Drosophila melanogaster: one gene and its partners. The protein of the gene in region 3 interacts with the protein of the main gene of each other region in a pairwise test. Each region holds a gene or a part of one and is shown on either strand. Other genes may lie near its edges.

Region 1 (6,954 bases), on a different chromosome or scaffold from region 3:
CACGAAGCCCGCAATAGAGCAGGAGGGTGAGGCCACCGCTGCTCCCGATGACGGACTGGGTCAACTGGATGATGGCTTGCAACAAAACAATGATGGATCTGCGCTTCCAGAGTCCACCACTCCGGAACCGGAAACCACGACCCCTACGACGACCACCACCACAACGCCAAAGCCCCATAAGCATGAGCCCCACTTTCATCCCCATTCTTATCCGCATCCTCACCCCTATCCCTACCCCATTCAGTATCCCTACCCCCATCCAGGAGTGATATTCTCTGCCGCGGGACCTAAGCTTACTCCTCCATCGACCACACCGCCCACTGCCAAAGATGCGGACAAGGAATCGCCGGAGCTGTCTGGATATCCCTCCTATCCGACCTTCAGATCACCGTACTCGCCCTACCAACCCCAGGTGTTCCCTCAGCCTCGTAACTGGCCCAGCTTCCCAGGATACGGACCTCCCAGTCCCGGTTTCGGATACCCCCACAACCACAATCACGATCACGAAGAAGACTCCGGCGAAGATAAGCCCAAGGACAAGTCTGGTGAAAAGGATAAGGACGAGGATGTGGCTCTGAAGCCACCAGGATTTAGCTACCCGCAGGTCTATTTGATTCCCCGAAGACCAGTGATCTCTGTGCCCAGCTTTCCGCGTCCAGGAGGCGGATATGGTTCGCCCTACGGCTACGGACTCTACTAACACTCTCCGATAAATACTGTGAAAAATCTCCGAGTCCAGATAGTCAATAATATCTTAGTTTTATTTCAATCTTGAAATGTACTTCCTAACACAATAAACAACTTTTAGATTATATTTTCATGAGTTTTTAATATTTGCATATAATATTTAATGCTTTCGATCGTGTAAATCTGAGTACAAGGTTCTTCACTGAATGTGGGACTGCTTGGAGTTTTCTTTCGGTGCATTAAGAACTAGTAAGTAAGTTAAAGGCTCCTAGATTCGGGAAAATGATAATTGATGATTTGCGCATATGAGATTGAGTTATGGGCTTCTGATTTCCCTATCGTGTAATCCCCAGGCTGATAACCCCGGGCCCCGACGCTCTCACCTTGGTGATTTCCAGTCGAACGGGTTGGGATCGTGGTTGCATTTAATTGCAGCGCATTCCACCCAGTCAACTCATAGTTCTGTCGATCGTCGGAAGTTCGAGACGTGAGTGTCAGTCGAGATCTGCGAGATGTTGCCGCTCCAATTCGTTTTGCTGGGCTGTCTGTTCATCGCTCAGGGGGTAACTATTCATCGGTTTGTTCCACAATTTAGGCTTCAATGAGTTCTATATTTTCAGATATGCCACACTCTGCCGGATCCCAAGGTAAGTTTGCTAGCAAACAATTTAGATAGTATCTTCTTTGCAATATTCCATAATCCACAGCTAAGGGTGCCTCGTGAAACTATCAACATTCCCACGCATCTCTTCAAGCCAGTGAGTCCGAAATCGAGCAACAAACCTATTTCTAATAGATCATCCTTAAATGGCGGAAACAGCTCTGCCCTGGCCGAAGCAAATAACGATGTCGAGTTTCTAGAGGTGAGTCTCATCCAATACACTTAATATAAATGGAAATAAATATATATTTATTATCCTTGAAGAGATCTAGCGGTGAAGTGGAGGAGGTGACCGACACCTACGAAGAGGAGGACGTTCCACTCCGACCTATCCCCTTCCAACCTCGACCGTTTTATCCTCAGATCCCTCCCCGATCCAACGGTTTCCCCATTCGTGTAAGTGTTTTTATAAGTAGTTACACATAGTATTACAATCCGATTGACGATTGAACTATTTCAGCAACCCAACTATGACAATGCATTCCAAACCGATTACAATGTGGGTCCCAGAGGCAGCGGCTTCGACAACAGACCTTTTCCCAGTTCCCCGGATTTCCGTGGCAGAGGCATTCGACCAATTCCTGACTCCCCATTCCGCAATCAAAACTTAGGAACCTTTGTATCTCGACCGGTAATCTTGTGCAATCGTTTTCCTAACTAAAAAACTAATACACCTTCTCCAGGTACCTATGCCATCCAGTGGTTCCATTATCCCCCTTATCGCCGGTGGTTCCAGTATTCCGACTGGTAGAAGTGGTCCCCTTGGTTCCGGGGGCTCTTCTAACAACTTTTACCGGAGCGAATCCTATAGCTACACATCGGATGGAAGAGGACCTCCCCAAATCGAGCGGGATGTGTTCGACTCGCGGGATGGATTTGGATCATCTTATCGCAACTTTTAACACCTTTCCTAAGAGAAGCTGATGAATGAAAGTTCCGAGTTCTCAAAAACAACTAGTTAAGGCTGCTAGAGATTATACTGACTTGTCTGTGTGTAATGTAAAGATTCTTGGCATTACAAATAATCAGTTATTTTACTTTCCGCACGGTTTATTTATCAGACTAAATAACAATTGTATTGAATAGAAAGTCAGTAAAACTTTCAAAGCTATTGAAACCTGACAGCTTACAAATCTAAAAAAGGTATATTAAGGTATTCAATACCTTTGTAAAATGAATTCCACATTTCTTACGTCATACCTGCACTAAGTAGTAAACACTTACTAGCGTATTTATTATATGCTCATTGATTGTTAAATCAGCTGCAATATGTAATCAAATTTTAGCTTCCGGCGAGCGTGCTAATACAAAACATGAACTCTGGACTACTGGTTTTGATATTTGCAAGGCAGTTTCTGGAAATAATATATACGTTCGGACTATGTATCTGTAGTTATTTGGTTTAAACTTAAATGTACTTGAAACATGATATGTTTATTCAAATGAAATCAGAGTTGGTTAACTTGTCCAGCTTCTCATAGACATCCTTTTCGTTCTTAAAGTCATTAAACTGCTTGACCATCGCCGCGTTCCTGGCCAACCGACTGTCGGACCATGTGCTCATGTATTTCTCCACCTTCTGCTCTACGATTTTCAGAGTAGTTTCCAAGTTTCTTTCCAGGATCTGCTCCAGGTCCTCAACTCCGTGCTGTATGAATAGCTGAACGACAACCTCGTCAGCTTCCGATTCGAATTCTTTGCTGCCTGCAATCGAAATGATGCTTTCCAGTTCCTCAAGAGCATCCTCCAGTCTGTTCAGCTCGAATGAATCATCGAAGTCCAGGGTGTCCAAGGCCGCGACGAAGTCCTTAAGCTCCCTGAGAATGTGTCCCTTGGAGTTTGGTGGTAAAATGAGTTCGGCCTCGTCGATGACCAATTGAAAGACATGTCGTAGCTGTTCCATGGCGTCTGTTACCATTTGAAAGAGTTCATTGGACACTTCGAATTGTAACTGCCATTTGTTAATGAGAGGCGCTGCAAGCTGAAAGTTAAAGGTTTCTGTTGATTCCAAAAGGATATAAGCAAATCTAAGGATCTTACCGAAAGCTGGAGGGCAGCTACAGCGACTAGAAAAGTCCAAGTTAGTCTGCTGGCCATGATTTGAAACTGTATCTAGTCTCTATCGAACTGATTCCTTTTATATTCCCTCTCTTAAATTCACAATTTTTATACAAAATGGGAGAACGCCTCCTCTGTAATGAATACCCACTGATCGTGAGACAACGTATAGACTGTAATCAGACTTCAGAAATCGGTGAGCGTGATAAGAACGAGTGCTGCCCCTTCGTATATTAATTAGTGGGTAGTGGAAACCATGCATTTTGTTATTACAAAGTCGTATATAGTTCCAAGTCACGATAATATCTTTATTGCTTTAAAGTATCAGTTCTCGATATCTACACATGTTGATCAGACAGTCGGAAATTTTCCGGAAGTTAAACGGCATTTTTCAGGAATAAAGTCCTCGTATAAATAGATTCCGAATATTGTTCTTTGAAGTACATTTCTCATTTTATTACAAACACTTTCTAATTCTATGATATTGTTTAAATATTTAGCTATTAATCTTAAGCCTTCGTCCATATACCACTGGCCACCCCCTGCACCAAAGCCTGAGCCAATTTGGTGTAGTCCATTAGCTGGAGCTCAGGAAGTTGGCTCTTCAGGTTCTGGGGAAACTCCAAGAAGGTTGTGATCAGACTGTCCTTGGTTTCGGTGGCCAACTGGGTGACGTTGGAAACCAATTCCGACCTGTCCTGTCGACTGAGTCGCAGATACTTGGTAAGATGCGGCTTGACCTTGGCGAAGAATCTGCGGATGGCGATCTTCTCGCCGGGAAGAACCTCGACGAGCAACTTATCGGGAGTCTTATGGTACATGAGGTCGCTGTTTATCCAGGCGAAGATATAGAATGCAGTGCTGTAATAGTCCTCGTTCCCAGCAACCAGGTCGAGCTCCTCGAAGTACTGCCGATCGATGGTTTCGTTGGCCGGAAGACCCGGTAGTCGTTGGCGGGCATCTTCGATGGTCGTGTAGAGCACCTGATTGAAGAGCCTCTCCACCGCTTGAATTGTATTTCTCACCAAGATGGTAGGGCTGCGTTCTTTCACTTGGGATGAGTCCGCCAGAGCCTGGCAATCGAGAGGAAAATCAATAAGTTCCTTATCTAATCCACTGCCGACTCACCGACTCACCAGACAGATAAGACCCAGAAGCATCGAACAGCAAGTGCTGCCGCCGATAAGAAACCTCGAACTGCGCCCTGATCTCGCCATGCTCCTCTGATCGCTGCTCGATTTAGACTGATCATGTCGGACGGATGCCAAACGGTCTCCCCACCCAAACAATCTCGACTGGCTTAGGTTTTGTTTGTTTTATTAAGCGCAAGTAGAAAATATCTCAAGTACTGTTTATACGAATTTCGTAGAGTGAGCAAATTAATGGCCATTAATGTTCGTTCGTGGTTTTCTATTTAAGCTAGCTAGGAAAAAAAGATGCCGTCTAGTCGAATGTTAGTAGTAATCTGCATACACACGAGTAACATTAACAATTAGATTTGTAAATTACACATCTTAGCATATACTTAGGTTATTAGCAAGCTACTGCATTCTCATATTGATCCGGACTATATGTATATATATATTCATATTCAGCATTTGTAAATTGGCTTGTAACGGGAAGAAAGTCGTCCGGATAATCAAAATATGCTCATTCTTTTGTACACTTACAACATTTTCAATCTGATCTCTAAAGGTTGGTAAAATCGAAAAAGTGTTTTTAAATAAATTTAATTGTAAAGAAAAGAGTCTGGATTACCAAAACATCCTTAATAATTTGTACAATAACCATATTTTCTATATTATCTTTTAAAGTTGTGTAAAATCAAAAAATATCAAGGATCAAGGATCGTTTGGCATGCGATAAACGTCCTTATAACTATTTCATTTTGTATCTCTGCAAAAGTACTTATACATAAGTCTTATTACATTTACGTTCAGAATAATACGCTTTACCCGCGATTGTTGGCAAATGCACTGGCATTTTCAACAATCAGCTTAAAATAATTAAATTAACGTCCAATTGACTTAGGAATGCATACTTTATAGTTGAATACTGAAAATTTTTTGTTTTGAACAATTTTAATCCGCATTTCGAGATAACACACATATGTAGGTACACATTGTAGTAGGACTATCACTGAAACACCAAGTTGCATATTGATATATATTTGATATAAGTTATTTCGCATATATACATAGCTTTTTGTGTTGCAGTTGTCCAGGCATTGTACTGATTTGGCTTTTAAATATATATATATATATATAATATTCTTTATAATTGAGACCTGATAGCAGCCATTGTCGTAGTTCACACCTAAGGAGATTCTAATTCAGTTGCTTATACTAACGCTGATATTTGGATTAAATCTTTACAGTATTTTACGAGTTCTCAAGGTACATCTGACATTCAGGACATTGGGGCCATGCAGACCCCAATAGTCGATAACAAGTTATAAAATAATCGTGACAAAATGCAAAAATAATATGCTTCTATCTTATGCTAGCTAAAGTTCTTAAATACTTATAAATGGCTAGTAATAGTTAGTAAGAAAATATACTCATATATATTTATGATCAATTGTAAATTCTGTTATCTAGAAGACAGTCCATGGAGTAGAGCTTACAACTAGGTCGAATATCAATAGAGAAGTATGTTCTAACATTGTTTTGGTTGTATAGTTTTCAAAAGCATGTCGAAATGCTTTATATATGTATGTAAACGAAGATTCAGAGAAGCTCTTAAACGTTGCAGAAATGTGTATATAGGTAATATTAACGATTAACACTTTGCTTAAAACATAAATATTCATTTGTTCTTACGGGCTATTTAGTAATATCTTGAGTAAATTTTTATAATATCCTTTCTAGCCTATTTTCACCCACGATTCTGGGACTGACTGGAGCTACTCACCATTCAACATCTGGGATTTGGAAATATTGTCCTCGAGTACACTTTCCGTTCTTTTGTAAGATATATCTGACTTACGGTTGGCGAAATTTTTCATACGCTTCTTGTAAAGTGTGAAAATCATAGACAGAAAAATATGTTTTTAAAATGATTTATTTGTTTTGTGAGAAACTATATGTAATGTTAAGTCAAAATGCAGTTCCGTTTTATGAAAAACTTAAGCTATAACTTAAGTAAATGCATAGTTTACCAAACTAGGCGCAGGATAAATGTCAAGGAAACAAATGTTACAAAAGAGAATCATGTTAAAGCAACTGAAGTCGGCACTACAGAGACGGAGGAAGAAAACGTGTTTACTTTTTATCACAATTGCGTATGAAAAATTTCTTTAATTGCTAGAAGCCGCCACGCCCACCACCGCCGCCGCCGCTCGAGCCCGCCAGTCCCGCTGCCGATTGCCGGGGCACCAGGATGCGTGGCAAGGTCAGCGACCTCTTGGGAAAGCCATGTCTGCTGCCCTGCGGCTCCTGGGTGGCGGAGATCGAAGTCGAGGTCGAGGTCGCGGCCGAGGTCGAGGTCATTGGCTCCGCGCTCTCCCTCCGCGGACGAGGTTCCATCGCCGCCTCCGGCTGGCCGTT
Region 2 (8,751 bases), on a different chromosome or scaffold from region 3:
TAAGATGCTGATATACCACAAAATCTGACGTTAAATAATCGTTTCGATTATCATAAGCAGTATTTTTAGGGTTTAAAGAAAGGATATACATTTTTGATGGATAGTATTCCATTTTATAAAAAGCGGTTTTGATTATTATTTAGTATAAATAAAGACCGTACTGTAAAAAACTGTAGCTGAATCTAGTGTATTTAGAATAATACAACAAATTATAACTAGCAAATAACTAGCAAACTTAACACCTGTATCTTAGTAGTGATAGATGGATATAATATTTTCATTATGTTATGTTCAGGAATATTATTGAACAACCATTTAAGCTTCTTTGATATAGTCGTGCTTTAAAATTAAATATATTACACACCTGCACCATTTTGATGTCCTTTTGCGGGTGTCCCGTTAGTGAGTCCTCCTAATCCAACGGATATTTCCGTGCCGGTTGTTCGGCGAGCGGTAAATTTAGCAGTGGGAGCTGTTAGAGCGAGACGCCAGCAAAACAAACGAAACCAGCTACAACAACTGAACTTAAGACGCGAGAGAGTGGCGCACGTGGTGGAATCACTTTTGTTTTAGTTGCGCTTTTATTGCACCGCCTGTCGAATTCATTGAATTTGGGGGGGAATACGCACGCACACACGCACTCACGACTGCATTGGCGAATAGTGTGGGCGAAGTGCAACGAAAGAGCGGGAGAAGCGAAACGAAAGACACGCGGTTTCAATTTGCTAACAGTGCCTATCGCGATAGGAGTGCTTGTGTCTTGGTTTTACAATTAATTGTATTGCACTACGCGAGCTTCAGTTGACTGCACCGTTTCGAACCGCATCTGGCTCACTACTTGCTTGCTTTGCGTGCGCCAAACGAACCGAACGCGAACTCAGTCAGTTTATTCCTATTTCCACGACGCGTTCTAGAGTCAGCTGCGATGGCCAGAGGTGGCAGCGGGCCGATGACAAGCCGATACTATCGATGTATTTATCTATCTATCCATCATCGTTGCCCGGCTGCGGATATCGATTAGTTGCATGGGCCGCTCCGGTTTTTCAAACATTATTTCCATATTTTTGTAAAAAAAGTTAAATGAGAAGAAAATAATAATAATAATAATAATAATGTATAATAAATGTGCGTCAAATTAGCGACGATAGCGGAACGGTGGAAATTGGAACTCGGGGACTTTTTTTTTGCGAATTGTGTCCCGCTGATCTAAACTACCGTGTCCCTATAGGCTAATAGGCTAAGCCTAATTATATAATGATCCTGAAAAATGCTTTAAAAATTATCCACCGATTTCCAGAAATCCGCCTCACAGCGAAGGAGTTTAAATTTATTTAATAATGCCGCCTTCTCTAGCACCACAGCCAATCCATGTCATAAACCACATTATTAACAATCAAATTTCGACTTTAAAGATTTATTAATCGGTTCAACCAAAGACACTAAAGATACTTCTAGTGTACTTCTACTTCAACGCGCACGTTACAAACCCATGCTCCCACAAAATAAATATATACCGAAAAATACTGCCAGTATATTTACATCTTAAATTCATGGAGCATGCAGCTCGGACCCAAACCGTGGTGAAAAACTTGGATGTAATCATATCAATTTCAAAAATATTCAAATCCGTTTCAATTTTATACAGAATAATATATCTGATTACTTTTACATATATATTTAGACATTTGCTTATATCTGCAGAGCCATCTCATCATACAATCACCTTATATTACAAACTTATTAGGGAACAGCAAGAGCTAAGCTTCTGATCCAATCCAATTAAACATTTTCCAAGCCAATTAAACATTTTCGCAGCTATTTATTTAAAGAATTCCCGTTTGAGAGCGTTCTAGCAGATGATTTAGCGACACCGGCTTCCAGTTGCTGAAGCTGCCATCGCTGACCATGCAGACGTGACGATCGATGTAGCAAAACAGCTTTCCCACACGATAAATCTGTAAATGCAATAAATCTATTAGTATATAACGCTCTGTGGTCGAAAATGGATTAACAGTCACCTGTTTGCCCATCTCCCGTCGCCCTGGCAGAGGAGCGAAGATGATTCCCAAGTCGGCGCATTGCTGCGATACCAACTCTTTGAACTCCAGCTGAGCGGGCGGATGAATCAGGTCCATCATTATGACTGGAGCCGGAGGAACTGGAGGCGGGGGCGTGGGCGTCACCGTGGGCTGCAGCAGGGTATCGCTGGCTCTGTGCATAATTTCCAGTGCTCGCCGCAGATGCTCTTTAACGCTGGGCTCGCGCAGAAGCGGTTCGCTCAACATGCTCTTCCAGCCGGTGTACCATCGCGAGATCTCCGCGTAGTCCGGCGACTGATTCAGCCAGACGACGAGCACTTGCATCCAGCGCGGGAAGAAGTGTCTGTCCAGTAGTTGGGCCATGTACATGGGATCGATGAGCTCGTGCCACTCCCATACCTGCTGCCACAGCTCCAGGTCCTGGTGCATTGGATTGATGATGAGCTCGCCTAGAGTCGCCTGCAGTTTGGGCACTATGTACCGCTGCAGGAACTCTTGCATCTCTTCCTCGGGGAAGGCCTTCTGCCAGGGCGTAAGCATGGCTCTGGCTGATCGGTCATGCGGTGACCAGGCGCGCAATGCTATACCCAATTTGCTGCGGATCTGAGGATAGACGGCCTCCTCCAGCTTGCTGCCCAAGATGGCATGCCACGGCAGCACCCAACTGTCGATCGGAACGGTGTCGGTGAGCGGATCCCACTCCTGGACACCAGCCACCAGTCGTGGCAGAACCAGTTGCTCGAGAACCGAATCCAAGACCCAGCTAGGTAGCAGGGGTGCCCAGGCATCTAGGAGTGAAGCCATTGGCGGATGCTCCTTCGGCTGCCATGCGGCAGCGCTGGACCGAAACGAAGGCATCACGCCGGCCCAGATGAGCGAGGAGTACGGATCGAAGACGTTGCGGGGCTGCTGCTCTGCTGCATCTCCTTGCTGGAGCATGCCGCGCCATTTCTTGATGAGTGGCAGCGGTTCCGTTGGGTTTTCCAGTGGCTGCCACTGAACTAGTTCTCGCTTCAGGAGCGGCGCTATTACACCGGCTGCCAGATCTGCAAGTCCGAACTCATGGAATTCGGCAGCGTAGTCCACGAGCAGCTCCCGAAAGAGTCGTTCAGCCTGAGGTAAACTCAAGTCTGGATTATCGATTAACCGCTCCACGCGCTCCAACGATTCCTCCAGCGTGCGTATGTGGTTTCGTTCTAGCTGGACTATCTCCTCCAGTTTCCGGTGCTCGCTTTCCAGCGCTGCCTGCTGGCTGGAACACTCGCGTTCCTGGTTGTCGATGGCGATGATCTGCTGCTCGCACTGGCTAACCAAGAGCTGGAGGTTGTGCGTCAGCTCGGGCATGGCAAAAACGCAGGCGGGAGCGGATCCCTTTTCCGTCGCCTCCGTGTCGTAGAGCGTCTCCTCTGGCGTAATTTTTGCCTGTCCCAAGGCATGATAGCCACTCAGCACTCGTTTCTCTGGGCCTGTCATATCGATCACCCGCACATTGCCCAGTTTCTTGCTTAGCTTCTCCGACAGTAGGTGGCCGGACGTGTGACCCTTGGCAATCACCTCCTCCACGGACTTGTAGTAGTAGCGCTTACCCTGCCGCTCCATTGGTTCGGCGCCACCGGCTGAGCCCTTTCGCCACTTGTTCAGCTGGTCTTTGAACTCTTTCGCCTCGCGCACGTCCTCATCCACTTTGATGCTCTTGTTCGTCTTTCCTCCGATGCTTGCCGCAGTTTCGGGTCCATAGGCGCCGATAGCACCTCTGCCCTTGCGGACATGGGCTTGCACAGGATGCGAAATGCCCTGCAGATCTTTGCCCAAACCCTTGCCAGGCTCATAGCCCATTTGAAGGAGTAGCTTAGCTCCAATGCCGCGTGTATGCTGCTCCCAGGCGCCCACGTTGCGCTCGCTGGCGATGTGGGAGCGATGCTGAAATGTGGTGCTTGGCTGTTTCCGGCTCAGCGTTGGCCTCTCCTCTTCTGATGAGCTGTTGGAGCTGCCCGGATCGTTCTGGCCGAAGGCTGGCCGTCCGCTGGCGGCGGAATCGTCGCTCTCCTCGCCCTGGTCAGCCTCTGCTCCCTCTTTTTGCGATCCTTTCTCATCATCGGCTTGGAGCGCCTTCTTCTTCTTTTTGCCCGCCTGCTGAATGCCGCCGGCCACAAAATTGACGGGCATGGTGTAGTCTTTGGGTTTACGGGCGGCGCGCCCCCTTCTCTTAGTTCCGCCCTCGCCACCACTCTCCTCCTCGCTGTCATCCGCCCAAATACCTACAGAAAGTTCGTTTACAAACAAATTCCGGCATGTATTTCAATACATACCGTAGATCTGTTGGTGCCTGCTCTGGCGGCCTCGGGGCCGATTGATGTTGAACTCATTGTCCAGATCGTAGTCCGTTATCTCGAAACGCTCGTAATCGTTGTCCGACATCCTGGCTAGACGTGTATATATTACTTACAGCAGAAACTGAAACTTTTGTGAATGTAAACAAACGCACCATTGACAATAGGGATGGCCCTAAATTAGCAATTTTATCGATAAGAAAATCGATACAAAAGTACTAAATACTAACTTTAGTACACTATTAGTATCGCTTATCGGCGCCAAAATAAATTTAAATTTTTTGACAATTGAAAACCACAACTAATTGACTCAATTACCGAACTATTATTAGTTTAGTAAGTTCATTCCTAACAGAATGAGCTCCCTTTTAATTAGCATAAGTACGCAGTATGAAATACTTGAGAATCCGATTTCAAAAGAAAACTATTTTTAGAAAATTTTTTTAAAGGTATTTGATTATAGTGATAAGATATTAAAATCGATAAAGTAAGAAATACATGTTTATGCCGCCTAATCGTCTGTTGACCATATATGTATTTGGCTAACACTCGATTAGCGCTATCAATTGGTTACGTCTACTGAATTGTTATGATAAGGATAGGAAAATACGACAATATTGATAACTAGACGGATAAGAAAATCACTTGAACTATGATAGCTTCGCGGGAACTTCAGTAATTTTAGTCTGTTTCCATTATTCATCGCCGAATGTTGTCTGTCTCGTTCGTGAAATAACTTTTAATCTTAACAGAAAAAAATCCCTCAAACAATTTGCGTCGTTTCGTACGTCATAAAATGGGTTAATCTTTAATGTGCAAACTCTTGTCGATGGAAATGAAAGTGTCAGCCGGTAAAGTGAAAAGTTGTTCTCTGTGTATGGTACCATAAATGTCACCGTTTTTATCAGAGTACGTAAATCATGTTTAGTTTTACTGGGTAAAAGGAGGTAGTCATCTTCATTGTTGGGCAGCCCCATTATCAGAACATTATAAAACATCGATGAACCCCCTTGCATGCTACCACATTACATGGAATCTTATCGGATGAGTACAGCACTAATTTCAGTTCATACAATAGGCCCAGTAAATTAGACATAACTACAGACAAAAAGCTCAGTCGCTGCCATAAACTCTTCTTTCGATTTCCATATCCATTTTCAACGGAATTATATCAATATTTCTGTTTCCGTTCACAGGTCAATAAGTTCTTTGTGTTCTGTTAGTTAAGGAGTTCCTGTGAATCAATGTTCTCGAAATCAGCATGGCGACCATAAGTTTTTGCAATAGGAAATATGTCCGTCTGTGGCCAGTGCTCATACTGTTCAATGTGGCACTCCTGCTGGTTTGGAGGAACCTGCAGCAGGCCCAGAAACTGGCCGCATCTTCTAATACTGGTGGGCAAAAGTCGGTAGGACTTTTGCTGTCCAACGAGTCGAATCCCTCACGTTTTTCTGCAAACTTCCATCTCGCCAATGATCAGCATCCGAAAATAATCCGGCGAGAGGACTCCGCTCGCACCAAGGAATTGCGATCATTGCTCAAGTGCCGCGACCGATCGCTCCGTTTCGAGAGGCTTCAGCACGGAGAGTTCTGGCTGCTTCAGAATCTTGTCATGGGACGAAAGAGTCGGGAAGTCGGCTGTGCCGAGTCCGTGACGTATACCACCAACGGGGACTTTACGTTCTTCGATAATCTGGAAATGGTGGTATCACGGTGAGTGCTCTTTTATCTAATAAACACTTAATAGCAATCTATAAAGATTTCTTTGCTAACTTAATTTACTTATTTTCCAGTTGGCGTGCTCCAGTTAGTTTTGCCATCCACACTCCAGGTTATGATCTTAACACCACACTGGATGCCATTCGGTATGTGCGAAACTGTTTGCCGGAGAGCGATAGCATCAAGGACTGGGTCTCCTTTCACGTGTACTTCCCAAATCAGCACATGCCGGAATACGTGCCATATGACGAGGCCGAGGTACTAATGTATCCGCACATGTGCACCCTGGCCAATGGATCGTTGGTATCGCCGCTCTACACGCAAATCCCAACCACGGATAGCTACAAGTCAAGGGCCAACCTCACGTACCCCATCAATGTGGGCAGGAATATAGCCAGGCTGGCGACCAACACCCACTTCATCTTTGCCTGCGACATCGAGCTGTATCCCAGTGTGGGCTTCGTCGACCAATTCCTGGACATGGTGGCCAGAAACCACAGTGTCCTTGCACTGGATCCGCGGCAACGCAGAAGGGTGTATCCTCTACCCGTTTTCGAGATCGAAACGGGCGCCAAAGTGCCGGTAGACAAGGACGAATTGTTGGCCCTCTATCGAAAGCAGCAGGCGCAGGTGTTTCACCTGAAGCTTTGCCCCACATGCCACACTATTCCTGGCCAAGAAGAGTGGCTCAATCGAACCTCTCGAGCCGATGACCATCTGCACGTGTTTAGCAAGGCGCTGCGAAAATGGAAGTTCCGAGCCTGGGAGCCCTTCTATGTAAGCGATAACACGGAGCCACTGTTCGACGAACGCGTCACGTGGGAGGGTCAGTCGAACAAGCGCATACAGGTGAGTTACTACTGTAGTCAAGTTTCCGTTTCACAGTGCAACCTTTTATTGCAGAACTATGCTATGTGCCTTTTGGACTACGAATACCATGTCTTGAGTCCCGCATTTCTAGTGCACAGTCCTGGGATCAAGCAATCCAGCAAAGCTGACTCCACTCGTCTTCAATACGCGAAGGAAATGACTAAATTTATTAAGAATAAAATCGAGCCCGAATATCGTGTGCTCTTCGGAAAGAACTCAGCCTGCAAGACGTGACATTACTTTGATAATATAACAAATAATGTAATTAATGAATTTATGCCCCATCTAAGTTATGCCTTTATAGGAAAAAGAGTCTATTCTTTTTACTACTTAAACCGAGTAGTATGTATATTTTGAACTTAATGCTCACTGCTTGCTATTCATCAATGTGAAAATATATTATATTTTATACAATTAGATAATAAGACCTAATGGATACAATTCCCTATACCTTGGGAAACTGATTGCTCCGCTGTTTCATGTAGTACAATATATAGAACATAAATTTTAAATTAAATTTTTAAATGCATTTTAAATTCTTCAGCAAAATGGCTTTCACATAATTGTTTAGATTGCAACTCTTTCCTTGTGTAGATAGTCTTCTTTGATGGCATTGCGTAGTAAAACTTTTGACAAAAGCTCCTGCCGCTGAAAAAATTCAGAGGACTCTTCATAATTTATATTTTGTGGAACGTTGTCATCAGTTTTTTCATCCTGCCACCACTTCGATTGTGGCAAATCCCACAATTTTTGCCCGGCTTTTGGCATTACGTAAATAATTATTGGCTGTTGTGAGATCGGATTAATAGATGCCATTTGCTTGGATTGCACTCCGTTTGTTACGGGATTCAAAGGATCTGGACCGTAAAGTCGTATATAACGTTGACTCCGCACTAGGAACATTATTTGCACGAAGGCAATCAACGCCAATGTGTCGTAGGCCACAAGCACTGAAAAAAAAAACTGTTATCTTACACAAATGAGGCTAATCGAATTTAGTTGCTTACTTGCGTAAAATGAAAGGGCAAGGGTCATCAGAATTAAGGTGGCCAATGGCACAATGTGTCTGGCAATCCGTAGCGTTATAATGACGAGTACAACTACTTGTACTGTGTAAATGAACTCGAAGATAGCCAATGGTACAACGTGATATTTCTTAAGCTGCATTGAAAATAATACATACTTGTTAAAATACTATATATAAAGAATTAAAAGCAGACCTTATATGCTCCATAAGCCGCCAAAACACAAGTTGCAATGTAGCAAAAACTGTAGAGTTGCATAAACACCATGAGCTCCTTGGAATCTGTAAGGCATAAAAGGATATAATTCACAGATTTGTTTGTTATTTTAAGGTGATTAGAGTTTCTATAGTCTTGAACCAGAATATTTGTACATATTAAAGATGCTTACAATGTTCCGCCCAGGTGACAGACTCCTTAACAATCCTGCTGGTTTTGTAATAGGTTTCCAGAATGTTGATGAAGAAATACAGGAAAGTTGTTCCGTTGGCGAATATCAGCCACATGAAGATGGTGTTTTTTATCTGAAAATGAGAGCTGCTCGTATTGGCTACCATCTGATATAGGACTAAACTCACGATGGCTGCGATGCAAGTGACCAGGACACCCAGTCGTACCGAAGCACAAAAGAAATAGCTCTCCATGAGCACCATGTTGTTGTCCCAGGACCAACTGGGCCATCTGTGTTCCAATTGGGGACGACATTCTGTGGCTTTCCATTTGAGTTCTGGCCAGCGAATGATATATGCCGGCCATTCGAACCGAAATGTG
Region 3 (8,513 bases):
ATATTGGAATATTTTCTTGCTTGTTTTCCAACAGCATCGGGAATTTAAGACCTTGATCAAAGGGTGCACCCTGAGAGCCACATCCATGTTAATGCCTCGCTACTTGGATAGCTCCACGTCGTCTGGCAGTCACGGAGCTGCAGGAGCGACCAACAGCTCCTCCTCTCCGCCGACGACGGTGGCCGCTCACACGAAGATGCGGCTGCTAAGTAAAGTGGAGCACAACATGCGTCAGAGCCAAGGTCACATCCAGAGCAACCAGAGCAACGCGAGCGGCCAGGACATCAACCACCTCCTGCACACGGCCTCCACGGGCAACGGCGTGGTGGACGATGTCGACGGACTGCTGACGCCCATGCGCATTAAGGCGCACATGTCGCCACCCTACTCCGCCGGCAGTTCGGTGAAGAGCGATTCCCTCGGCTATAGCCCTCGGCCGGAACGCAACCTGTGGAGCCGGGCCGAAATGCTGGAGATGCTGAGCATCATGCAGAACCTGAACGCCCTCGAGCAGCTAAACGACCGGAACATGAAGAGCGAGCAGGTCTTCCGGCAGATCGAAGAGGTGATGCGCAGCAAGGGCTTCGTGAAGAAGTCCAGCATTCAGATCTGGACAAAGTGGAAGTTCCTCAAGTCCACGTACAACACAACAACGCGACATGGTACGGGTGTGCCCAAGGTGGTGCCGGAGGAGGTTTACCGCGTGCTCTGCCGGATGTTAAGTGATACAAATCATGGCGGCGGCAACAGCAATGTCAACGGCAGCCTTAGTGAATGCGGCAATTCGATGGACAGTTCCAAGACGGCGGGCGATGATAACAAGGAGGATATTCTCGGAGTGGAGCATCCCATATTCGGCTTCCGACTGGGACCCATTAAACCCGAGCCAATTGATATAGGTGAGTGGGATTGTCAAAATGAAAGTATGTTAAGAGAGTCATTACTGAAAACACGTACCATTCTATATTTGCAGGCTATGAGACGACCGAAAAACATGATATGGTGTCCGAGCCCGACATGGAGTCGTTCGACTACGAGGCAGGAAGCTCCCATGCCGACAACGGCGACCAGGAGGATGTGCCCCACTTGCCGTTTATAGTGTCCGTTAAACATGAACCCGACGTGGATCTGGGCATGGACACCACCAACACACCGCCGCCCACAGCGCCAGCCTCGCCTTCACCGCCACCAGTAACTGTGGATGACACCGAAGATGACAGCGTTTACTCATCCACGCCGGTGGCACCACCTCCCCTGCGTGTGGCCTCCTTTGCCAAGGGCGAGTTGCGACGACCCACCCACGGCATACTGCAGATCGACCGCCCGCCACCGACGCTCACCAAGATGGGACAGCAGCAGATACCCAATCCGGGCCAGATGAGCCGGTCCGTGCCGCTTCAGAGCACCAGCAGCATAAACTTTGTCCACCCACACAGCAAGTTAATGTTACCGAGAAGGCAGAATCCGAATAGCAGTCAGTCCGGGCTGCGACTGCCCAGGGATATCAGTGTCCAGTCGACAGGAATGCGTATGAAGACGGTGCCAATGAGGGACACGGGCTACTCGCTGCGTCCGGATCGAATGACTCACGACATCGATCAGTCCACGTCCAGTCCACCGCAGTCGCCGTCCACAATGTCCAGTCTCTTGGGTCGCGGGCCGCCACCGAAGTATCAGATAGCTGGTCAGCAAGCAGGTGCTTCCACCAGCAGGCAGGCCCACATGATGTCTTCCCACCAGCTGACACCGGTGCAGCACCAACAGCTCCAGCCGCGAAAGCGTCGATTGGGCCAAAGTCCGGTGATGGGAATGCCCGTGCCGGTGAAACTGCAGCGCAGCAGTAATATGTACGGCTCAGCTCCGAAAGATATCCGATCTCACCCTGCGGTTGGCGAGGAGAGCAAAAAGAAGTCCAGCGAGGAGGAGACCAAGCAGCGCAGAAAGCGTCAGGACGAGCTGCTGGCCAAGGAACTCAGCCAACTGGCTTCTGCCATGCGCACGGCACAGAAGGAGATGTTGCAAGACTTCTTCCTCCAACAGAAGGAGATCGCACGGCGGGAGCACGTGTTCCAGATGAAGCAGGACTCGTTGGTAATGCGGACGCTGCGCAGACAAACAGATGCGCTGCTGAGAACAGCCAACGAGCTGGTCAGTGGAGTTTCCGAGGCAGCTAAAATGGAGCCCGACGATAAGGAAGGTGTCATTCCCGAAACTCAAATGCCGTTCGAGCCAGAAACCGAGCTTCAGACTCCGGAAAGCGAGGAGGACAATGAAAATGGAGAAGGGTATGCTGGCGATGATGTGCAGGAAACTATGGAAGAGCCAGATTATGAAGACAATGAAGATGATGATTATGAGCACGATGAGGACGAGGAAGACGAAGGCGACTACGACGAGAACATGGCCAATGACAGCGACCTGGAAATGTCCAATCTAGCCATGTCCGAGGGCTCCAACAATGCCGAAATCATTAGCGGAGGGCACTAGATGGCTATCTCCTAACTTCCTAACACATCGCCAAGTATTACCCCAAAAAGACAAACACCATTGTTAATACCGATTCATTCCAATCGCATTCCTTAAGCTATATATACTAACCATATATATATATATATATATTCCTAGAGCCAGACCCGCGCATTGTTAAAAGACTTGATTATATTTAAGCATTAATACATAAATGAAACCTAAAGTAAATTAAAATGTATTTATTGTTCATCAACCGTCTATGCCCCAAAGTGCTGTAAAGTTATTGAAACCACAAAATACTTAGGTAACCATATGATATATATCAAAATATATATGTACCTTGTACATTACATGAACAGAATATGTGTGAATTTGTTCGGGTATCGAAAGTGGGCTTTGAATTCTTAGTTGAAAAATATTCATTTACTATGAATGCAGTTAGAAAAACACATTTTCGAAATCACTGTAAATTTCCTAACACGAAATTTATTAAATAGTATTGCATTAGTTTGGGAAACAAATAAGAATTTACAACTAAACGAAAAACAGAAAAAGTAGAGCGCCCTAAAGTTACGAGAAATCAAACTTACCGCCTAGAGTTCTTGCAAAATTTTGTTATAAACCGAACATGAAATAGTAGCTAGCTTAAAATGACAATCTGCGAGTGCACTAAATTAGTTAATGCCCATTGTGTGTGCTGTGCCTGCGCCTGTCCTGTCCTATGGATTAGTGTACCTATACTCTCTGCTGATTAGCACGATCCGTAAACGCCTAAAGCAAAGTGTTAGCAGCTAGTGTTTATTTTACAATTACCATTACGACAACCCCGCGACCCTGTGATACCACGCCCCTCCTCCTCCACGACGGCACTTAGTCGGGCCGGTAGATGGGCGTTTTGGGTATAAATTCAATTAAAATAACATACTCCATCATGGAATTGGAATCACATTGTTGCTTATGCAGTCGCCAGTGCAGGCCCAGCTTATGATATAGATGATTGTTCTCCCATTCGAACAGCTTGTCCAGTGTGAGTTGTGTCTACAAAATTGAAAAAGGATTTAGGCTAGGCTCATGACCGATTTTCTAGATTAATCTAAGGCTTACGCGTTTGCTGAGACAGATGACGGGCCAGAGGGAACAACCGAGCGTGCAGCAACAGCAGACGCAGCCGCAGAAGAGCCATTTGACGTTGACGGGCAGGGATTTCTTCAGCACTCCGTTGATCCGGCCCACCGTCGCCTTGAACTCCTCGGGAGCCACGCGCGACAGCAGACCGCAGGGAAACTCCGCGTTGAAGCGGTTGCTTAGCCCAAATCTGCAAGTGTGCGTGTGAAAAAGTTACAATTCGTGTGCAGTGCAAGTGCAATTATTCTGCCCTGACTCATTTCTTATGCAACCTTCCTGTAATTGACTGCTGGGCAGCAAAGGCGTTCTCCCCCAAAAATGGGGTCAAATAGCAGGGCAGGGCCTAGATCGAAATTGGGTGGCGTTAACCTTGAACTACTTTTTAAATAGGTTCGTTCATGCAGACAATGTTACAGACAATGCTGAAAGCATACACCTATCATTTCTGTATCTGTATAATATTCTATAAGATAGATATTCTATATGCAGATAATCTAAAGGATCTCTGTGGCAACCTACCCTTTATAAAATGAAATACGTAGTTCATTGTTTCACTAAAGATTACTATGGCGTTAAAAGTTCTTACTTTGCCTTCAATTGTGCTGATAATGGTGTTGTCTTACTGAATGAGGTTATACCCTTAACTACTCCAGCTATCTGTTTTCCCGCTTATCACTCAGTGCATAGACCCACTTACACCGTCATGTTGCCCGCGCCGCGTATGATGATGGGCTCCTGGACCGGCGCCACCGTTTGGTCCTGGAAGTGCTCCAGCTCGTCCAGCTGCTCATCCTCGTAGATGGCGTCGAAGTCGGAGAAGGACATGGTTGGCCGTGCTTATTATGGAGGGCTGATGGGGCGATGTGGTGAGAACGGATGACTAGGTGACCAAGGGGAACAGAGAAGAGCAGCGGACGCTCCAGCTGTACCGAGTGGGAGGTCAAAACATGTTGCTGTCTGCCGTCGCTGGCGGGGATCCTGGGTGTTCCTTTAGAGCTGTCCTTCAATCGCAGATTGACACTGCTGCTTCCGCCATAAAATGTCGACGTCTGTCGCGCTTCCCAGTGATGCGATTATGACGTCTGGCCTCCTCTGTTGACGCAAATGCGTGGGCGAAGCGGTCGGCGGATGGCGGGGCGTTGGTGAGTGGCATTCAAAATAAAGTGCATATTAAAAAACAATAAATGCAACGCATGTGCATGTGTGTGTGTGTGTGGGGGGTCTTTCACAACACTGGTCTCTGTCTGCACTTTGTTGTTGCTTTTATCCACAATTGCGAGCGGGAGGGGAAGATACAAAATAGAAACTGCAAATACAAAGGAAGGCCAACTAAATGTTTGCGTTCCATTAATGGCCACTAAAATTGGAATTTCCTACTCAAACAAACATTGTTAAAAGCAAAAACCACAGCGCAAATGTTTTGTTTTTCCCCACACACACACAGCTAGAGCACCAAGTCACACACACACACCTTGCAGTGTATTTCGCAATCACTTTTGTTGCACGTTCAACTGTTCTGGTGTAAGCACGATCACTTTTCTTGTTTTTCCTATAGTTTTGGACTGGTTTTAAAATGTTCCGAGCAGAGACTACGACTTATACACGCTTTCTACGTTATTCGAATACGAAAAGTCACTGCTCAATTTGTTGTTGCACGACCACGACGAACAGCTGGCCGACCAAAGTTGCCAGGCCGTTGTGTAGGTAGGCAGTTCAAAATTTTCAAATAAAATGTGAGCAGGTGTTTTTCTAATAATTGCTAAGATTTATACAAATAAATACATTTTATTATTTAATTAAAAATGTCACTCTGTTGTAAGTTTTGCAATTCGATCATGGCTATTTAGTAAAGCGACCTCTAAAAGCAGCTGGATTGGCAGTGCTGCCATCCCGTTTTCCTTTTCAAATTCTTAAATTGCGTGGGGTATTATTGATTTATTAATTATCTATATAAATTAATTACTTCTATGTATAAAATACATAGCGCGCCATAAGCTTAAGCCTAAACAAATACAAATTCGACAATCGGGCAACTGAAATAACATTGCAATAGCTTAATTTCGAGTGTTACAGATTAAAATATACATGTAGCTCTAGCGTGAACGAGAAGGCATATTTGAGAAGGTTTTTGGTTTCCAGTACCGGTGGGTCGATTGACTATAGAAGATTACTTCTTTTTGGCCGCACTGGGACTGGTGGACTGGAACACCGATGAGGCCGACATCAGGTTCTCGATGTACTGGCCGAGCACCTGGTTCTCGGAGCGCAGCTTCAGATTTTCCTCCTTGACGGAATCGACGCGTTGCGACAGGTCGTCCAGGGTGTTCTGCAGCTCCAGGACCTGTGTGATGAGGCGGGCCTTCTCCTCCCGATCGTCCTGGGCCATTTCCATGGCCTCCAGCGAATTGTGCGATGAATCTGGCGTGGAACTGCGGTTGGTGAACGATGAACGCAACGAGTCCATGGACCTCCCACTGGGCATTCGTCCCGTCGCCGGTGGCTCGTCGTCCGGAATGACCACTGCGTTTTTGGGGGGGATTAGCAATTGATAACATCATCACTCGGGACTCCACCCACTCCCTCCAGTTTTCACTTACCCTGTGGATCCTCGTCCATGTTGGGAATGCTGTCGTCATTGTTTAACAGGGACATGGCTGGCAGTGTTCAGGGGTACTCTTTATTCTATAAAACTTAAACTCTATTCACTTTTGCCAAATTTCTCTTAACAATTGACACGAAAATAAAACTACCCTTTGGGAAGTTGGCCAACACTAGCTGCTGGCGCTGCCGTTGTTTAGTATGAGCGGCGTTTTCCAGTACTAACAGAAGTTTAAGGAGAAGAAGAAGAAGCTGTATTTTGTAATCTTTGAAGCAATTAAATATTGATAAAGTTGCTAAGTTAATGTGCGGTTTTAAATATATACAACTATTCAGAGGACAAACTCTTTTCGTTAAAATTGTTCCGAGAAGGTAAAAAGCTCTGTTGGATATTGCGAAATTTTCCTCTGCACTTATTTTACAATATCAGGTACATGTAAAGCCATCGCTTGATATTAATTTAAGCATTTAAGGCTGCTAAGTAGCGTATTTCCAAAACAGTTAACACCAAACAAGAAAGGCTTCGTTTATTTACCATTTTATTTCCGCCTTTTCAAAATAACCGACATCGGGCGCACACGAATCGGCAACCAGAGTTGCCACCTGAGCCGTTCGATCATAGAAATTAAAATACACACATGCTTTTGCAGTTTTTAATATTGTTGAACGACAGAACGCTTCCGTTTCGATGGCACTGCGTAATGTTTCGAGCTGCTTTAGTTGGCTTACCTGGTGAAAAATGTGCTTAAATTGTTAAGATTTTCCGCCCGATTTCGCTGGCCATTCGTTTTTGCCTGCATTTACGAGGTCGAACGAGCAGTAACACCCTCGCAGCAACAAACTGCAGTTCAATCGAATCATACGGTTAAAGCAGGTAAGCCTACATATCCTGGCCCACCTTTCGACACTCGCGACCTGACTTTCTGAACTTCTATCATTCCAGCCGTGTTCGGCAAGCCAACAGCATCCCGATATCCTGGTTTCCGCCTCCTCCGCGGCTGTACATTTCATTTCGCTCCGCGGGCAAAAACGAATCGCGTGCGGGTAAGTCAACAGTTGGATCCTGGCAGCGGAACCTGTAGACTCTCTGAAAGTGAAAAATGAAGACGCATTCCATGGGCCCTAGACCAAATTCCCTGGCCAGTGGTTCATCCGAACCAAGATAAGAGGTTTCAGTTATTGTGACATTGGGTGGGCTGCTACGTAACATGGGGCTGGGAGATCGGATCGGTTTAGCCATCAAGGGCTCGTAAATGTGGTCGTGAGATGGGATTCAAAGCCCAGAGGAGCTATTTTTAGGTTCTAGTCGTTTTTGAGATAACATAAATCTTTGGGCAGCATAACTAAAAATGGTATCAAAATTCAATATACGTGCAGTGTGGCCGTACTGGGGCAACGAGGTTTTGCCCAATGGCCGCGGGTAAATTGTAAAAACAAAAAAAAAAAAAAAGCAAGCGCAATAAACAGAAATATTAAGGTAGGATAACACAGGTATTGTAACTAATGACTTTAAGCTGCTAGATATTTCCCTTTTTATTGGGACAGATGGCGATTGGCTATTAACAGCGAATATGCATACAAGTTGCAAAGCAACTGCTACCTGCTAGCTATTTTCTGATTACCATGCTTTTGCAGCTTTAAAATCCTTATATAGCATCCAAAACTAAATCCAACTTAACCTTTTTCAGGTAATAACAAACCCAAAGTAACCGTAAATATTTAAAACTAATTCGCAATCTGTGCATTTAAATACCAAATGTTGGTATATTATCAGAACCGAGAAACACGAACAATGAGAGCAAGGAAACGCGCGAAACAATAACTTTAATTCAAAAACTTAACAATTTCTGCGATTTTGATTAAGAGAAAAGTGATTGATGAATATACGGATATAAAGCACAAATCGCGCGATCGAGAACATAACAAATTGCCAAATAGTTTTGTGAAAAGGGGGAATACAAAAAAATACTAACGCCGGTGTGGAGTGTAAAATGCCAAAAACTTTTGTGCGCCTCAACGTACAAACATTGTAAAGACAAGAATATAACTTCGATTTCCGCTGGTTAAAAAAGAAATCAAAAATCCATAGCTCTAAGCATAAACGGCTCAAAATGCTGCCATTGTCGATGGCCAGTGCGGAGGCCAAGCAGCTCCAGCGCAATATATCATTGTCCATGTCGCCAGCGAATGGAGGAGTCATCTCACCATCTACCGCGAATTGCAATGGTGTTGCCTCTGCCTCCGGCGGAAATCCAAATCCCAACAGCCTCCTCACACTAGCTCCGCGCAAGGAGGAGCTACGCTTCCTGCCCCTGGCGCCC
Region 4 (6,812 bases), on a different chromosome or scaffold from region 3:
CGTTGCCATATCGTGGCATAAATATCACAAAATGAATTTATTTATAGGTGCATAAAGACAACCCGACTGTGTGCACTGCACTTATGTGTGGATATTTATTGCAGGCATTGTTTGCCCATATTCCTGTGTTGTCTATTTATTTGCCGCCTTCCGTTTTGTCATTGTGTTTATTTGGGACTTTCTTTTTCTGGCCCAATCCGTTCTGTTTTGTTTTGGTGATTTGAAATCGATGCATAAATAATGGTTTATGCCAGCGGCTTTGGTTTCTCCTGATTTTAACATTTCATGAGAGTCCCATACCGTGCGTTACGCAATGGGAATGTTATTATATATAATGTTTATCATATATAATGAAAAATAAATAAGTGAACACTACAATTTCTTGAATCGTAATATTCTTGTTGCAAAGTACTTATATTTTCGAAACGTACTGTCCTTCAGACGACGATAAGGGCGGAAAATCACAGAAATATGACAAACTTTTTCAATTGCACAATATACGGGCATAAATTTTATGCAATAAATAGCAACCTAAAACAAGCCAACAAAAAGGCTCGGAAAAAAGGACAAAGTTGCAGTCGAAAACGGGCTAAAACAAAAGATTGCCAAATCAACAATCAGGCAAAAGGGCGCGAAAGATCGTGAAAAGTTTTAGCCGCTTTCGTGACGTTTGCCAATTGCTGAATTCTCGATTCCAATGACAATCGCCCCAGGGCGAAACAACAACAACGGGGAGAGTAATAGTGGCAAAAACAAGGTGATGGCACGCCCACTTAGCCAGCTGCCAGTTCAACGCGCCCAAAAAGGGCAAAAGGAGCGAACGGGTTTCGTCGCTTACGTGACTTGTTTCATAAACAAACAGAAGGCGCAGAAAATTGGCACAAAATTGCCAAGCGAATCCTTGCCAAAGGACCAAAAATTGGGGGGCCCAGGTGTATGGTCCGGCACCTCCATTCGACTCCTTTTGCTCACATGTCCCGCTGACATTGAGCGGCGTGAAAGTTTCGCCCATGGAGAAGCTCCATTGGCAATTTGGCACTTTTGCATACGAGTTGGTAATTGTTTCCGCCAAGCATTTGTGCAGCTGCAGATGGGACTGCACTGCGTGTCCTTTTCGCCGCGCTTATCATTCAAAAGTCGTGGGCAGCTGCGTTATCCGTGGCTCGGGACATCAGACATCGGGGTACGGACAGCTCTAAATGAGACATTGCAAGGACACGAAAGTTTTCTCATTACTAGACACACACTCCAGCACCCAAACGCCTTATGAGTTTTCCTTCCTTATCCAAAAATTGAGTAAAACTAAAATAATCAAGAAACGAAAAAAATGAAAAGTTGTCGCCACTTTGCTAACAGACAATGCAAAAGTGTGCAGTCTAAGAAAATGTTCGAACTTTATTTGGACGAGTAAAAAAACGCTAGTTTAAATGAAAATTTAATTTGCATAGCCACTCGTATTTGAAAGTGAAGGTGTTTTTTAAATTCCACATGTTATTTTATTGAGTTTAAAAATTAGTTATTTAAGCCCGTACTATTTTCAGTGGTAGTTAAATCTGAAGGCAGTCCTGCTGCCATGCTACCCATAGACAGGTGAATCAAGCTTTCAGCTGCCATCCAGCGAGGAGAATTCTGCGTGCGGCAAAAGTTTTCATGCATATTCAACATCATTAGAAAGTCAGGACAAAGTAGCTGAAGGCAGAAAGGCAAGAGCCTTCGTGGAAAGTAAAACAAACCCGTTTAGGGCGCTAAAATGTAGGCTATAAATTATGTCATAGGTATAGTCGACCTTTCTCCACGGAGCTTCCTTTCTTCCAGTCTGCCGTAAGTGGGCTTGAAAGGAGTGCATTTAGAAAGTTCTGAAAAGCGTCTTAATTGCAACGACGTTGGAAAATACCTGTAGAATTTAATTCTTCGCGCTGGAAGCGTATTAAATTCAGAAAAAATGTAATTACTTACTAAAAGGGAAATCCCTTATAAGCACCTATGGTATAGGAAAAAAATACACAAATTGAGAGAGTAAGGAAGCAATTTACTGAGTTGCATGTAGGTGTGAAAACAAATGGAAAATAAATATATAAATTTGCCATTCCGTGGGACCTACATGACCAGACAGCACTTTTTGGCCGGTCTGGCGGAGTGGCGATTCTGAAAGCCATTCCTTTTTTCCTCATCTAAAGGTTCCTCCACATCACCCACAGTTTCGCGAACTTCCATTGCCTGGCTAACTGATGTGCTTCCTAGCTTGGGATCATAGGACTCGGCTCCGATATTCATGGCCTGGACTTCGTCAAACTCCAGTTCGCCAACCTCCTCCTCGCCAGGATCCAGGCTGTAAACGAAACCCGGATGGCGCAGACCCTGCTGCTGCTGGATGCTGGCCTCACGCCAGATGGACTCGTAACGGGGCTCGTAGCATATGTCCTCCGAGGTTGCCGTACTCCACCGGGTGTACGTAGATACTGCATGGGTATTAAATTTATAAATCCATCAGGAAATTAAAAAGAAATAAATAAATGCACAATACTAAAAACCTATGCAAGTCAAAGCATAATATATATAAAGGGCTTCAAAATACAATATATATTGTTTTAAATAAACATTATTTCCTTTCCGTACTTACACTCATCAAATAGCTTTTTGGCCACCTGGCTGGCCTTGAAGTCGGGCACAAACACAGGTGCGTTGGGGTTTAGGCGTCGGTCCAGCGGTCGGCTAACGACGGGGGGCGTGTCGCCCGCGGCGGGCGGAGGGCAGCTGCCAGGAGTCGAATGGGCGTCACCCACTTCCCCTGCAAGTTCGCTGGTCGATGCGGTGGCGGTGTCCTTCAACATGGTCAGCAGAGCACTTAACACTTGAATAGTTTTTCAAATCTACATTTGAGTTCCGGCCGGACGATTTCAAGTAGCTTTTCTATTCTGCTTAAATGCTCAGTTGACAATTATGGCAGGGCAAACTACCTGATTATTTGATTTTCTTACCGGTATTCAGTGCCAAATATTAATGAATGACCAAAGACAGCCGCTTCCAAAATATTTTGCCAAAACTTTGGTATTGGCCGATTTTTGCTATGAGGGTGTTTATCTCTCAACGTTTGTCTTCACGAAGTAATTTGTGTTCCTACTATTTTTAATGCTTGGCCTTTGAAATTTAATTGGATAAGTAATGAAAAGTCAACTACGATTAAAGCTACACTATTATTTACATACACAATTTATGATTGCAGAACGTACAACTCAATTAAATAGAAAACTATTTCAAAAAAAGTAAGTTAACCATGCTCCTTTGTCCCGATTCCTTGTAATTTCTTTGAAATGTCAAAGGTTATTTACCTCCATTCAATTTCTGTTAGATTGTTATTTTGAGGATTTATGGGTTTATCCATCTTATTGGGGCTTAACCCGAAAACTGCTTCAAATCCATGCATGCCATAATTCGATTTCATAAATTTGATTCCACTTTCAACTGTCATGTTTGCTCCGCTTTTCTCGTTGCAAATAAAGTTTGACTTTTAATTAAATGGCCGAACTTACAATAATTTTAATAAGCCGTATAAATAAATTATAACAAATTTCACACAAAGTGAGATAAAATTGCCTAAAACTCATCCTGACATTCCATCTTGCTGGTGCGTGTGTGTCAAATTTAATTTTGTGAATACCGCAAATTGACAAATATTTTCGTTTGGCCAACAAGAAGAAGACCAAAAGCACCCAGCACTCTAATTCAATCTGGCTGGTGTATTTTAATTGATTTGCGCTAAAATTTATTGATTTCATTTTGTCAACAGTTGTTGCCAGATGAACCGCAAAGAACGCCTGAAAACCTCAGACCCATTCACCCATTCAGCCATTTGCCCAACTTGAGCTCATTATGGCAGCTTCAGCCCCCTTGGAACCCAATATTTGCATTCATTTTGTGTGTGTGCTAATTTGCATGTGCGAGTGTGTTAAAACATAAATTAGTTGACTCTGCCGACACACCCACACAATCGAATAAAATAAAGAGAAAGGGGTTAGAGAAAGTTTCAACCGAGAACCGAGAATTTATTGCCAATTCATTGCATTCGCGCTGCTGTATCGAGCGATTTCGCTAACCGAACAAATAGCGGTTTTAACTGTTTTTAGTTAATTGCGCAAATTACTTGCGCTAATTTATTGGCCATTTTGTGGAATAGACAAGGTTTTTCAGCTTATAGGTTTAGTCCGACTAATTTGTTAGTTTCTGAAGGGATGTTTTTTTTTTTTTTGACTTCTTATTCTATACATTTTGTGTAAAAAAATACCATGTAGTTCTTCCTGTTTCAATAACACTATTAAGCCATTTGACAATTATCTTCGACAGTCATAAATCCGTTAAATTAAATAAAAGGCCAAAGTTTATTTAGCTACTCAATCAGGGACACAAACAACACTCAAATTGTTGGACAGTTTCAGATTCAAATGGCAAGCGGTGGTCGAAGGGCAAAGTAAATAGATGAAACGAAGTCTTCGCACTTTTGTAAAGTTGCTGCTCAGTGTTGGCGTATTTCCCTTGAAGGAGTAACGTATCATATCTTTTATTCAGCTTTGAATGAAGAAGTCATGTCAGAATATGCCTCAGATATAAACCGTTAATATAAAAACGAATAATATTAAATTGTATTATATTACATTATATTATTTGTGAAGGGAAAGTAGCCAAGATGACAGCTCTGGTCGCTCAGCAGTCAGTCAGTCACCCACTTGGTCAGTCACATGGGCTGCACATTCAAGTGTCACTGATTTGAGGATAAGCACTTCACAGGCAACTTGATAGCCCCCCAATCCGGACCCCCTCCATATATATATGTATATACATATATCTTTGTGTATGTATGTATGCTGTAGTGGCATTGGAGCGGTTGTGCCGTGTTCCGACGGGTTGCTTGGTTGCCTGGCCAGTCAGCCGTGGTCGGGAAATATCACAGCAGTACTCTCTCTCATTCGAGGGCCACTCGTGCAAAGCGAACTAATTTGAATGTATAAAATCAGCAGCACTGCCGGGAAGCCCCACAGGGACAGACATACATATCCGCAATAATATATATAAAGGGACAGCAGATAGACAAACTGACTGACTAACTGACTGGTCGAATGACTGGCCATGGAGAGTGATGAAAACAAAGGCCATCATTAAGCGTTCCATCTTTGAGCGGCTTTAATTGATGTGCGTTAAATCGTTGACAAACTTGATTAGGAAGGCCAAAAGGGGTTATTTTTTTATTTGTTAAATTGCATAAATAAATTTCATTAGGCTGTAAGTGTCTTGAGCTCAATTATGAAATAGAAATTCGTTTTTATACCAATTATACTGCAAATAGCTTTTCTTCTGTGTGAACAATTTCTTGGAAACTAACATTTAAACGAATTGAACGTACTATTAGAAATGAAATATTGAATATTATTTAGGTTTTTTTGTCATGCATCCAAATATAGTCTAGACTCTCATATTTGCTTTTAACCCTTTACCCACGTTTTCCCTAGATGTTCATTTGGTCCGTTAGACCCGCTTTTCCGACTTCCCATATTTTTTATCGCCCGCCTAAGCAAACACACATAGACAAGGTGTCCAAATTACTGCCGGTTGTTGGTGTAGTCTTGCCACATGTTTTTGCTGTTGCAGCAGGGTTGCTGGTGTCGTTGCTTGGTGTCAGTGTTGCCACCTTGTTGGCGAAAGCAACTGCAAAAACAAGAAAAGCTAGAAAAGTCTCTATAACCGAAGCAGAAACCACTCTTACCTAAAAAAAAACTAATTTTAAAAACGGCACTATAAACTTTGGAAAATATTAAAAAGAAGGTTTAAAACAATTATACATATATTTAAATCACTTTAAAGGCTATTAAAATGAAGATGGCTTTAAAAGATTAAAACTCCTGCTGTTAGGGTATAGGAAGAGAAAACAGCGACTCAAACAGTTGCAAATGTTGCATTTGCATGCATGGCCAGTCGGCAGCAAATTTCACCTGTCCCCTTGCACTCCTCTTCACACCCCAAACCATCGTCCTGGCCACATCCATCGGCTGGCCAGTTCGGGTGAGCGTTGTCGTTGCCATTTAGACAAGTGACATATGTGCCAGGCACAGGTGAAAGGGGCCGGAGAAAGGGGAGAAAGCGAACGAGAGAGACAGCTCATGCAACATGCAAAATAGTGTGTCAGAAAGGAAAGCCGACTCGTCTCTGTTTGCCCCCCGGACAGGCCACACGCCCCTTCTCACCTTCTCGCCACCCACCCAGATCTCCTGCATCCTGCAGAGAGGGAAAGGATGTCGCCGTCTCCATATGAGAATAGTGCCTGCAGTCCCGTATCAGAAAGCTTCCTAGTAAGTTTGCTCCCATATGAAGTTAGTCTTAATGATCTGCTATTGATCAAATTACAAAACTACTTCATAACTAGTTTGAATTTCTGTTTCAGTTTGAGTTGATTATTAAATAAAGGTATCCTTCTAAGGAGATGGCATGGATATCTACGTTACTTCGGCTTTCAGGCACTAGGATTAAAATATATATATATAAAAAACTTTAAAGATGTAAATGTGGGCTTAACAGTTTAGTATATATTTAATACATTTTTTTGCAATGCCACTGAGGAAAGTTGACGCTTTGGCAGTGTGCAAATTGCAGGAAGTAACGTACGCCAAACAAACAGGGCGACAAACAAACAAACGAGCAAAACTAAACAACAAACTCGTGTGCGAATCTTTAGTTTCGCCTCGTTTCTGTGTGAGAGTGTGGGCTTTTTTCGCAGCTGTTGGTCCTTGTTTTTGACACAGTTCAGGGGAGCAGTCAGCGTTATA

Evidence for each region.
Region 1: the proteins of CG5938 (region 3) and OS9 interact in a two-hybrid assay, tested with the Drosophila melanogaster proteins (one large-scale study listed by BioGRID).
Region 2: the proteins of CG5938 (region 3) and sip1 interact in a two-hybrid assay, tested with the Drosophila melanogaster proteins (one large-scale study listed by BioGRID).
Region 4: the proteins of CG5938 (region 3) and CG15136 interact in a two-hybrid assay, tested with the Drosophila melanogaster proteins (one large-scale study listed by BioGRID).

The regions. Positions count from the first base shown.
Region 1 is NT_033779.5:19,963,032-19,969,985, forward strand, and holds OS9 (Olfactory-specific 9), read right to left. Parts: upstream 3,480-6,954; 5' UTR 3,446-3,479; coding exon 3,389-3,445; intron 3,330-3,388; coding exon 2,787-3,329; 3' UTR 2,633-2,786; downstream 1-2,632. Other genes in the region: CG16772 (uncharacterized protein), read left to right, coding at 1-700; CG10680 (uncharacterized protein), read left to right, coding at 1,200-1,250, 1,308-1,334, 1,395-1,550, 1,613-1,744, 1,809-1,979, 2,032-2,250; Hf (helical factor), read right to left, coding at 3,916-4,479, 4,543-4,623.
Region 2 is NT_033779.5:5,716,842-5,725,592, reverse strand, and holds sip1 (septin interacting protein 1), read right to left. Parts: upstream 4,543-8,751; 5' UTR 4,458-4,542; coding exon 4,349-4,457; intron 4,298-4,348; coding exon 2,019-4,297; intron 1,956-2,018; coding exon 1,824-1,955; 3' UTR 1,649-1,823; downstream 1-1,648. Other genes in the region: CG11030 (uncharacterized protein), read right to left, coding at 365-373; CG11149 (uncharacterized protein), read left to right, coding at 5,631-6,082, 6,163-7,192; CG34011 (uncharacterized protein), read right to left, coding at 7,526-7,908, 7,966-8,119, 8,179-8,264, 8,372-8,504, 8,559-8,633. UniProt on the Drosophila melanogaster protein: May be involved in pre-mRNA splicing.
Region 3 is NT_033777.3:27,271,564-27,280,076, reverse strand, and holds CG5938 (uncharacterized protein), read right to left. Parts: upstream 5,284-8,513; 5' UTR 5,066-5,283; intron 4,901-5,065; exon of another isoform or gene 4,687-4,900; 5' UTR 4,420-4,686; coding exon 4,292-4,419; intron 3,785-4,291; coding exon 3,574-3,784; intron 3,508-3,573; coding exon 3,340-3,507; 3' UTR 2,659-3,339; downstream 1-2,658. Other genes in the region: mrt (martik), read left to right, coding at 86-899, 974-2,487; CG5934 (uncharacterized protein), read right to left, coding at 5,762-6,114, 6,192-6,246; l(3)mbt (lethal (3) malignant brain tumor), read left to right, coding at 8,304-8,513.
Region 4 is NT_033779.5:17,045,151-17,051,962, forward strand, and holds CG15136 (uncharacterized protein), read right to left. Parts: upstream 3,132-6,812; 5' UTR 2,979-3,131; intron 2,919-2,978; exon of another isoform or gene 2,916-2,918; 5' UTR 2,832-2,915; coding exon 2,621-2,831; intron 2,460-2,620; coding exon 2,098-2,459; 3' UTR 2,011-2,097; downstream 1-2,010.